Ovis aries: one gene and its partner. The protein of the gene in region 1 purifies or fractionates together with the protein of each later gene. This does not show direct contact. Links are inferred from orthologs where the notes say so. Each region holds a gene or a part of one and is shown in the gene's direction. Other genes may lie near its edges.

Region 1 (4,598 bases):
AAGGACCACAAGCCTGCCAAGACTAGAAGTTCAGGGGACCAGGGAAGTTCATACAAGGATCTGGAGTCAGGAGGAAAACAAGGAAACGAAAGCGGAGCGGCAGTTAAGTGGGTCACAACCTCTCACCTGGGGACTGCTGACAGGCCCGGAGAATCCTGGGGGAGCTGGAGGGGGCAGGCCGGGGGACCCCATGGAAGAGCTGATAACTGGGAAGGGGGAGCCCAGTGGTGGGGGTGGCATCGAGGGTGGGGGTGGAGCCCCAGAACCTCCAAGGGACGCAGCTGCTGAAGGGGGTAAGGGTGGTCCGGGAGGAGAAGGGGGAGCGGCCCCCTGGGGAAGGGGATTTGGGGAGGAACTGTCTGGGCTCCGCGAGTCTGGGGGGGGTGGTGAGGGAGGGTACACACAGGCACAGACACACAGAGACAGGAGAGACAAAAAGAGAAAATGAGTCTTGGATCGCCCAACGGGAGACTTCCATTCTTTCTCTCTGATTTCCCCACCGCGCCCCCATTCCACCCGTTCCCAAGTCCAGAGGCAGCCTACTGCCAAACAAGGGCTGAACCCCTAATCGTGGTGGGAGGAGGGGGCTGATAAACAAGAGGAGAGCTGAGGGGAGGCAAGCTCCAAATAGTGAATTTGGCCACCCCAGGCCGGAGGCGTCTCGTGTGGGTGGGGCAGCACGTGGGGGGAACCCGCCAGCCTCTGCACTCCCAGCTCGCCGCCCGAACGTGCAGGGGAGAGAGACCCCGCCGAGGGCGCGGAACTCGCCTCCCAATGTCCAGGGTCCTCAGGCTCGAGGACCGGGGCCCTGCGCCGGGGACAGCGGGGCAGCCGGGCCTCCGGCGGCCGCCGCTGGGAGAGCGGAAGCGCCCCCTGGCCGCCCCGCCCCGGGGGCAGGGCACTGCGGCCCCCGGGAGGAGGGGACGCGTGTTTACAAACAAGGGGGCGGGGGCGCCCGGGAGAGCGCCCGGGAGGGGGAAGGGGCCGCCGGTGTCGGGGTCTCGGCGCCCGGGCCCGTCTGCGGGCTCACTCACCCCGCCCGCTGTCGCCCATCCCGTCCCGTCCAGCCTCCCCCGGCTCCGGCTCCGGGGCCTGCTGTCCTCCGGCCGCCGCCGCCGCCGCCGCCGCCGCGGGATCCAGCCAGGGCCGCCGCCGCCGCCACCGGGACGCGACCCCACAATGCATTTCTTTTCGCACCCCCACCGGCCCACACTGCCCTGCGGCATGCCGCTGGGGGAGGAAGGGCGGGCGCGCAGCCCAAGACATGACTCCCAGCTGAGTGTAGGGACGCCGAGCGGCACCAGGGGTTGCCGAGGACCGCTCGGGGGGACGAGCCGAGCACGAGGAAGCCCCAGAGGAAACGACTCTGGCTTCAACCGGGTCAAACTAAGCGCTTCGCCCGGCCCTGTACCAAAATGACAGCGCCAGTGTGGCAGCCATCTTGGTATAGACGGGAAGTCTTCGCGCTAGTTCCCGCCCCCTCGTCTAGTTGGAAACGGAGGAGGCGGTCTTCTCCAGCCTGTTAGCCAGTCTCGCCAGGCATCCCCTTAAATAACCTCCACGTCCGCGCATGCGCGCCAAGGCTGGTCCGCATCCCCGCCACCCGGAGTGCGGCCATATTGGTAAAGGTGCTGGGACCGAGGTAGAACGGGACTCCCAAGTTCTCGCGGGAGCTAGGGGCGGGACTGCCACGTCCGAGTAAACCGGGAAAGGAGAGGATCCCGGAGCCGGTGAGAATTCCCTGCTTTTCTCTACTGTCCTTTCCAGGCCCTTTTCCTCACCTTGCGGGTCATAGAGACGAGAGCCCAGAGAGTCCATAAAGTGGAGGATCGAAGCCTAGAGCGGAGTCCCGGGGGCCCTGTATCAGGGAAGGGGTTCGGGATAGAGTCTCGGGAACAATGTGGGTGGGGACAGAACGGAATGGGGGAGCGGCCCATAGAAGTGGACGGTGGGCGCGAACGGAGTAAAGCGGACCCCTCATGGGTGTAGAAGTGAGGGCCAAGTGGAGTCACTGTCTCTGTCCCTCTGGTCAGCGTGATGGCCAGAGGCCTGGGGGGCCCCCGCTGGGTGGCCGTGGGACTGCTGACCTGGGCGGCCTTGGGGCTGCTAGTGGCCGGACACGGGGGTCATGGAGACCTTTACGAAGACCTGCACGAGGACTTCCACGGCCACAGCCACAGGCACTCACATGAGGATTTCCACCACGGACACAGCCATGCCCATGGCCACGGCCACACTCACGAGAGCATCTGGCATGGGCATACCCACGCTCACGACCACGGACATGCACACGAGGATTTGCACCATGGCCATAGTCACGGCCACTCCCATGAGAGCCTCCACCACCGAGGACACGGACATGACCATGAGCACAGTCATGGAGGCTATGGGGAGTCTGGGGCTCTAGGCGTCAAGCAGGACCTGGACACTGTCACTCTCTGGGCCTATGTGAGTCCCCTGGGGATGGGGCAGAGGGAGGCTGATGCTGTATTGTTGGGAAACCCCACACCTCTTAACCCCTGACTCTCCCTCACCAGGCACTGGGGGCCACGGTGCTGATCTCTGCAGCTCCATTTTTCGTCCTCTTTCTTATCCCTGTGGAGTCAAACTCCGCTCGCCACCGCTCTTTGCTCCAGATCTTGCTGAGTTTTGCTTCTGGTGGGCTCTTGGGAGATGCTTTCCTGCACCTCATTCCTCATGCTTTGGGTAAGTGATCTTTAGCTTCTACCTCAAATCTTAATGAATTTTAGTCTTTGGGCAAGACTGTTCTTTCCCCTTTGTGACCCTTCACCTTCTAGTGTTCCTGCAAATACACACCCCTTGCTTGGTTCCCTCATCTGGCCTTTTCTCCCTCTTCTTCCAGAACCTCATTCTCACCACCCTCTGGAGCAGCCAGGACATGGACATTCCCACAGTGGTGAGGAAGGGGCGGGTGGAGACACGGGTTGGGGTGCTGGAGAAGGTCTATCTCTCCTGTTCTTCTCCTATGCGTGGGGAGGAAGAGTCCAGAATCCACATCTCCCTTAATGTCTCAATGCATCTATTCCCAGGCCAGGGCCCCATTCTCTCTGTAGGACTGTGGGTCCTCAGTGGAATTGTCGCCTTTCTTGTGGTGGAGAAATTTGTGAGACATGTAAAAGGAGGACATGGACACAGTCACGGACATGGACATGCTCATGGTCACACACATGAAAGTCATGAACATGGAAGACAGGGTGAGCCCAGGAACAATTTTTCTGAAAGCCACATTGCCTACCTTTGGATCTCCTCATTTGAAGGTTCTGAAGTGGGAGGAGACTAGCCTTGTGAGGATATATTGGCAGATCTTTGTTCTCCGCTTACACCAATTCCTTTTTTCACGTACAGAGCGTTCTTCGAAGGAGAAACAGAGCTCAGAGGAAGAAGAAAAGGAGGCAGGGGCATTGAGGAAGAGGAGAGGGGGGAGTACAAGGCCCAAAGATGGGCCAGTGAGACCTCAGAACGCTGAAGAGGAGAAAGCAGGGTCAGGTGAGAGCCAGGGTTCCATAGGCTTGGGCCAGAGACATAGTTGTGAATTGCTGGAAATAGCGCTGTGGGTGATGGCAGGTGTCTGGGAAATACTAGGGCTGGATATGAACTGGTCTCTCGGGGAGATGTGATAATGGTTGATCACGGCTGGGACTAGGGGTGATGAATGCCTCTAACTCTTTCATCTTCCCTTTCTCCTATAAAAGACCTACGTGTATCAGGGTACCTGAACTTGGCTGCAGACCTGGCACACAACTTCACGGATGGTCTAGCCATTGGTGCTTCATTTCGAGGGGGCCGGGGGCTGGGGATCCTGACCACAATGACTGTTCTGCTACATGAGGTGCCCCATGAAGTCGGAGACTTTGCCATCTTGGTCCAGTCTGGCTGCAGCAAAAAGCAGGTTGGTGATGGTGTACACCAAACATGGTTACCTCAAGCCCTTTACCCTCTGCTCACCTAGCCCCAAACCAGACTGCCACTCATGAGTTTGAAACAAATTGTACTACAGGCATACTTTGTTTTATTGTGTTTCTGTATTGCACTTAGCAGATACTGCATTTTTTACAAATTTGTAGCAACACTCTGTTGAGCAAGTCTTTTGATACCTTTCTTCCAACACTGTTTGTTTACTTCACATCTGAGTCACAGTTTGGTAGTTCTTGCAACATTTCAAGCATTTTCATTACTGTTACCTTGATCTGTGATCTTTGCTGTTACTATAGCAAAAAGATTGCAACTTGCTGAAGGCTTAGGTGATGGTTAGCCTTTTTTAATCGGTATTTTTTAATTAAGCTCTTACATTGTAGGTATAATGCTACTGCACACTTACAGGATAGTGTAAATATAACTTACATGCACTGGGAAGCTAAAAAATTCATGTGACTTGCTTTATTGTGATGGTCTGGGACTGAACTCACAGTATCTCTGAGGTATGCCTGTATTGGTGACAGTGGATCCTCTAGTAGTGAAAAGGAAGAAGTTATGTTTGTCTTGCAGTTCAGTAGTTCTTGAGCTGTAATCCAGAAACCATCTGAATAGTATAGGGGTCTTTCACACCGTGCCCCCTACCGTGACCTGTTGAGTCAGAA
Region 2 (4,463 bases), on another chromosome or scaffold:
AGGCAGAGACTTATTCAAGACGATCACAACAGAAAAGAGGGGCCAGGACTCTGTCTGAACTCAATTCAACAGAAAGCTTAAGATATTTTAAGAGTAGGAAAACTCTCAGGTCAGTTCTGTTTACCCAAAGGAAATTCCGACTCTTTTTGACCTCATGCACTGTAGCCCACCAGGCTCCTCTGTCCATGGGATTTTCCAGGCAATGATACTTGGGTGGGTTGCCATTTCCTTCTTCAGGGGATTTTCCCAACGCAGGGGTTGAATCCGGGTCTCCTGCACTGCAGGCGGATGCTTTACCATCTGAGCTACTAGGGAAGCCTTCACAAAGGAAAAGTAAAATTTCTCTAAGCTTCGTGACGGGAGGCAGTTTTACAACTTGAAACAAAGCGCCTGCCTAACTTAGGCTTCTATGCTTCCAAGGAGACTGGGAGTTACGGGTGCTGTCTCCTTTTCTGCCATTTTAAAAGGATGACTCCTAGTTCAAGAAAGACAGCCCTGGGTTGTAACACGGGAAAGAACTTTTAAAAAGATTTATATCCCCAAAATGCAGAGAATCAATTACCAGTTACCAATACCTGTACCAATTATTGCTACAGTTAACAGTTTTCTAACGTAACGCTCTAAGGAAAGGGAGGTCAAGGACCCAGAGGCAGGAAAAAAATACCTGATAAAATGTGTACCTGAGCTGAGGGAAACGTCAAGGCGGTCTTTAATAAATGATTAGCTGTATTTATGCAGTTTTGCACCAAAAAACTCAAAGTATGAGCTTCCACTCTTTCCCGGTTTCTTCCTGCAAAGAGTTGCACACTTGACACAACTTTTTCCTTTCTTTCTAGTGCGCCAACCTCCCTGTCTAGTAAAATGTGTACCTGAGCTGAGGGAAACGTCAAGGTGGTCTTTAATAAATGATTGGCCGTGTTTCTGCACTTTTGCACCAACGAACTCAAAAGATGAACTTCCAATCTCTCCTGGTTTCTTCCTGCAAAGAGTTGCTGCACACTTGACACAACTGTTTACTTTTTTTCTAGTGACCTAACAACCCAGTCTAGTAAAATATGTACCTGAGCTGAGGGAAACGCCAAGGCAGTCTTTAATAAGTAACTGGTTGTATTTCTTCAGTTTTGCACCAACGAACTCATATTACAAGCTTCCACTCTCTCCTGGATTCTTCCCGCAAAGCGTTGCTGCACACTTGACACAACTCTCTTCCCGTTTGCTTTCCTTCTAGGGAGCAAACCGCAGGCTCCCTCCCCTCGACTTCCGGAAGTGCGCGGGGCGCAAACGGTCTCACGCGCCTGACGTCACGGAACGCGCCAGCCCCGGAAGGTTAGCAACCGGGAGCGTCCCTAGTAGCAGGGGGCTGCTGAGATGTACGAACTTCCGGTTGTCGACAGCAGCTGCAGCTGCCGCCTCCGCCACCTGCGGCGGGCCAGGTCTTCGCCCGGGCCTCAGTCAGCGTTTCTCCCCCGTCTCTTCAGTTAACACGCCCATGGTCCCGCCTGGAGCCAGGGCGGCGGGCGCCGGAGCTCGCGCGCGGTGAGGGAGCCGGCCGCGGACCATGCAGCCGACGCTCTGCAGCTGCTGCCTCAGCCGCGCCCTGGCCTCGGCGCTCCTGCTGTCCCTGCTGCTGCCCGAATTGAGCGGGCCCTCCGCGGGACGGCCGCCGGCAGCGCGGGCCGCGCCCGACCCCCAGCCCGCGGCGCGCGGGCCGCGCACCCGGCCGCCTCCGCCGCCCGGGCCCTCCGCCGCCCGGCCCGCGGGCCGCGCTCCGGCCTTGGAAGCCGCGGGCTCGCGGGGAGCCGAGGGCGGCAATGGCAGCACGCCCGGGGCGGGGCCGGCCGCCGACGACCCTGGCGGGAAGGCGGGGGCCGGGGGCCCGGCGGGCGGCGTCCTGGCCGTGAGCCCCGACCCCGGCGACAAGCCCATGACCCAGCGGGCCCTGACCGTGCTGATGGTGGTGAGCGGCGCGGTGCTGGTGTACTTCGTCGTCAGGACGGTCAGGTGAGGCGAAGCCTCCGCGAGCCTCCCCGGCAGGCCTGAGGCGCGCTTGTCTGCCGACCTCCTCCCACCCCCTCAGTCACGGTGCCTGCTGAGTGAGATTGTGACGAGGACTGTCTTGAAAGCCTGTGGTACCTTTGGGAGTGTTCAGACCGCCAAGTTCGTGCTGCCTCCCTTTTCATGTGTAAACTATCAATTAGCACCGAACCTCTATATCAATATTTATTTGAGTAAATTGATAGTAATGCAGAATGATCTTTAAGGATGATTTATAAAATGGAAAAAAGAAGTTCTTTTAACAGCAGTTTCCTGCTGTTGACTTTTAACTTGCCACCATCGGTTGTACCTTATGAAGTTTCTTGCTTTCCACCTTTTCTGAACCTGGAAACTGACAACTGCGTAGGTTCAATCATTGTTAGAGTCCCCATTAGAAACATCTAGCATTCATTTTGCATGACACTAAATAATGGACATGAGTTTGAGTAAACTCCGGGAGTTGGTGATGGACAGGGAGGCATGGCGTGCTGCAGTCCATGGGGTCGCAAAGAGTCTGAGCGACTGAACTGAAATAATATGGTGTGAAATATTACCAATTTCTTGATAAGGTGGAAAACTGATACCTGTGCAGCAAAGGGAAAAAAGTCATAAATATGATCCCGTTATAATATTGGAGAGTATGTTTAATATCTTAACAACTATATATGTTTTAACTTTACAAAATTTGGATTAGTAAATGGATAGACTTACTTTTTTTAAACTTCCAAAAAGCTTTTCTAAAATGAATTCATCTGTAAATAATTCTAAGTCATTCAGAAGCTTAAAGTTACAAATGAATAGTTTTTTGAGCTTATTCTTAATATAGAATGTTAGAGAATTAGTTAAATTTCAGATTTGTTACAAATATGGACACTTAAACCACGTCTTTAACTTTACCTAGGATAAAACTAACCTAGGAGAATAAAGTGATGTCCCACGATATATAATAATCATCACTGATTGTACAATCCATCATTTGCTTCGTTTGAATTTTTTTCCATGATGTTTGTGTCCAAATCTGTGATCAGCCTTTTGATTAAATCAGGTCCTTACATTGTACCAGGTTATGAATAAGTAAATGACTATCACTTATTTTTCTACTCCCTTTAATGCCTTATCAAGTAGAAAAGGAATTATATAGGTCAATTGGTGATATTTTATATTGTCGTAAGTAACTTCCACTTGATACGTTCTATTGTTACAGAAGTAAAGTTATATTATGGCATGAATCATGGTATTATAACATGCCAAATATGTAATGAGACCGATTTGGAAAAGTCATGATAAAGCCTCTTTAATTGAGTTGGGGACCACCTCTGAAGCGTTGAAATGCAGAGCTAAGAACTCGCTGTTAGAAGAAGCCGAGAGAAGAGCTAAGGAAGCTCTAGGTAGTTCCCTCCTATTTACTGCGGTAGAGGTAGTTGTGTGGGAAGGTACTGGTTTGTTTTCCAAATTATTTCACTTTTTTTCTCCCCTATAACTGCCTACCTTCAACCATTTCATATATTTCTTTAAATGGATTTACTTAAAGTTTCCTTTTAAACATATCTGTTTATTATTTTGTGAGTGAAAAACATTATTTAAGCGAACATTCCTTGGCTTAAATAACTAACTGAAAAAGCACAGCGTAACAGGGAACCCTGGAGGGTGGTAGGGTTCTCTGAGACCTGTTCAGGTATCTGCAATATTGAAACTATTTTCAAAATAATACATTCCCTTATAAGTTTATGACTTCCCTGGTGGCTTAGACAGTAAAGCATCTGCCTACAATGCCGGAGACCGGGGTTCAATCCCTGAGTTGGGAAGATCTCCTGGAGAAGGAAATGGCAACCCACTCCAGTATTCATGTCGGGAAAATCCCATGGACGGAGGAGCCTGGTAGGCTACAGTCCATGGGGTCGCAAAGAGTCAGATATGACTGAGTGACTTCACTATAAGTTTATAGGACCCAAGAAGTTTATTGATAATAGTTTCAAATTCCGCAGTGCAGCTAACTCATAAGAAACTAACTCTTGTCGCGTTTTGGTGTTCTATCAAAAAAAAAATGTTAACACCAGAATCTGAAAAGCTATTAAAATGTACCTCCATTTTCCAAGCTCACATCTACTGTACCTGGATTTTCTTCACATCCTTCAACTAGACAACGCATAGCAAATGATTGAAGGCTGAAGCAGATATGAAAATCTAGCAGTTTCCTATTTTTCTAATTTCTCTCTCTTCATTTTCTATCTCGTTCTCTCTATTTAAGCCAGACATTAACAAGATTTGAAAAAAAAAAAACCTAAATCTGTGCCATTTTTCACCTTTGTTGGTTTTCTTTTTGACTATATTTTTCACAAAAAGCTATGTTAATCTGTAGTGGATTTATTATCATTTTAAAAAGCAAATGGTATTTAAAATTTTCTTAGGTTTAATTAATATATTACGAA

Evidence for each region.
Region 2: the proteins of SLC39A7 (region 1) and FAM174A purify together in Homo sapiens (co-immunoprecipitation; 3 studies listed by BioGRID and IntAct, with this or other methods). This does not show direct contact. The link is inferred for Ovis aries from reciprocal best matches to the Homo sapiens genes SLC39A7 and FAM174A.

The regions. Positions count from the first base shown.
Region 1 is NC_056073.1:7,539,614-7,544,211, forward strand, and holds the start of SLC39A7 (zinc transporter SLC39A7), read left to right. Parts: upstream 1-1,681; 5' UTR 1,682-1,730; intron 1,731-2,033; 5' UTR 2,034-2,037; coding exon 2,038-2,448; exon of another isoform or gene 2,449-2,537; coding exon 2,538-2,706; exon of another isoform or gene 2,707-2,863; coding exon 2,864-2,917; exon of another isoform or gene 2,918-3,050; coding exon 3,051-3,215; exon of another isoform or gene 3,216-3,366; coding exon 3,367-3,507; exon of another isoform or gene 3,508-3,713; coding exon 3,714-3,910; exon of another isoform or gene 3,911-4,598. Other genes in the region: RXRB (retinoic acid receptor RXR-beta), read right to left, coding at 127-374, 1,035-1,266. UniProt on the Homo sapiens protein: Transports Zn(2+) from the endoplasmic reticulum (ER)/Golgi apparatus to the cytosol, playing an essential role in the regulation of cytosolic zinc levels.
Region 2 is NC_056058.1:97,365,157-97,369,619, forward strand, and holds the start of FAM174A (membrane protein FAM174A), read left to right. Parts: upstream 1-1,365; 5' UTR 1,366-1,558; coding exon 1,559-2,001; intron 2,002-4,463.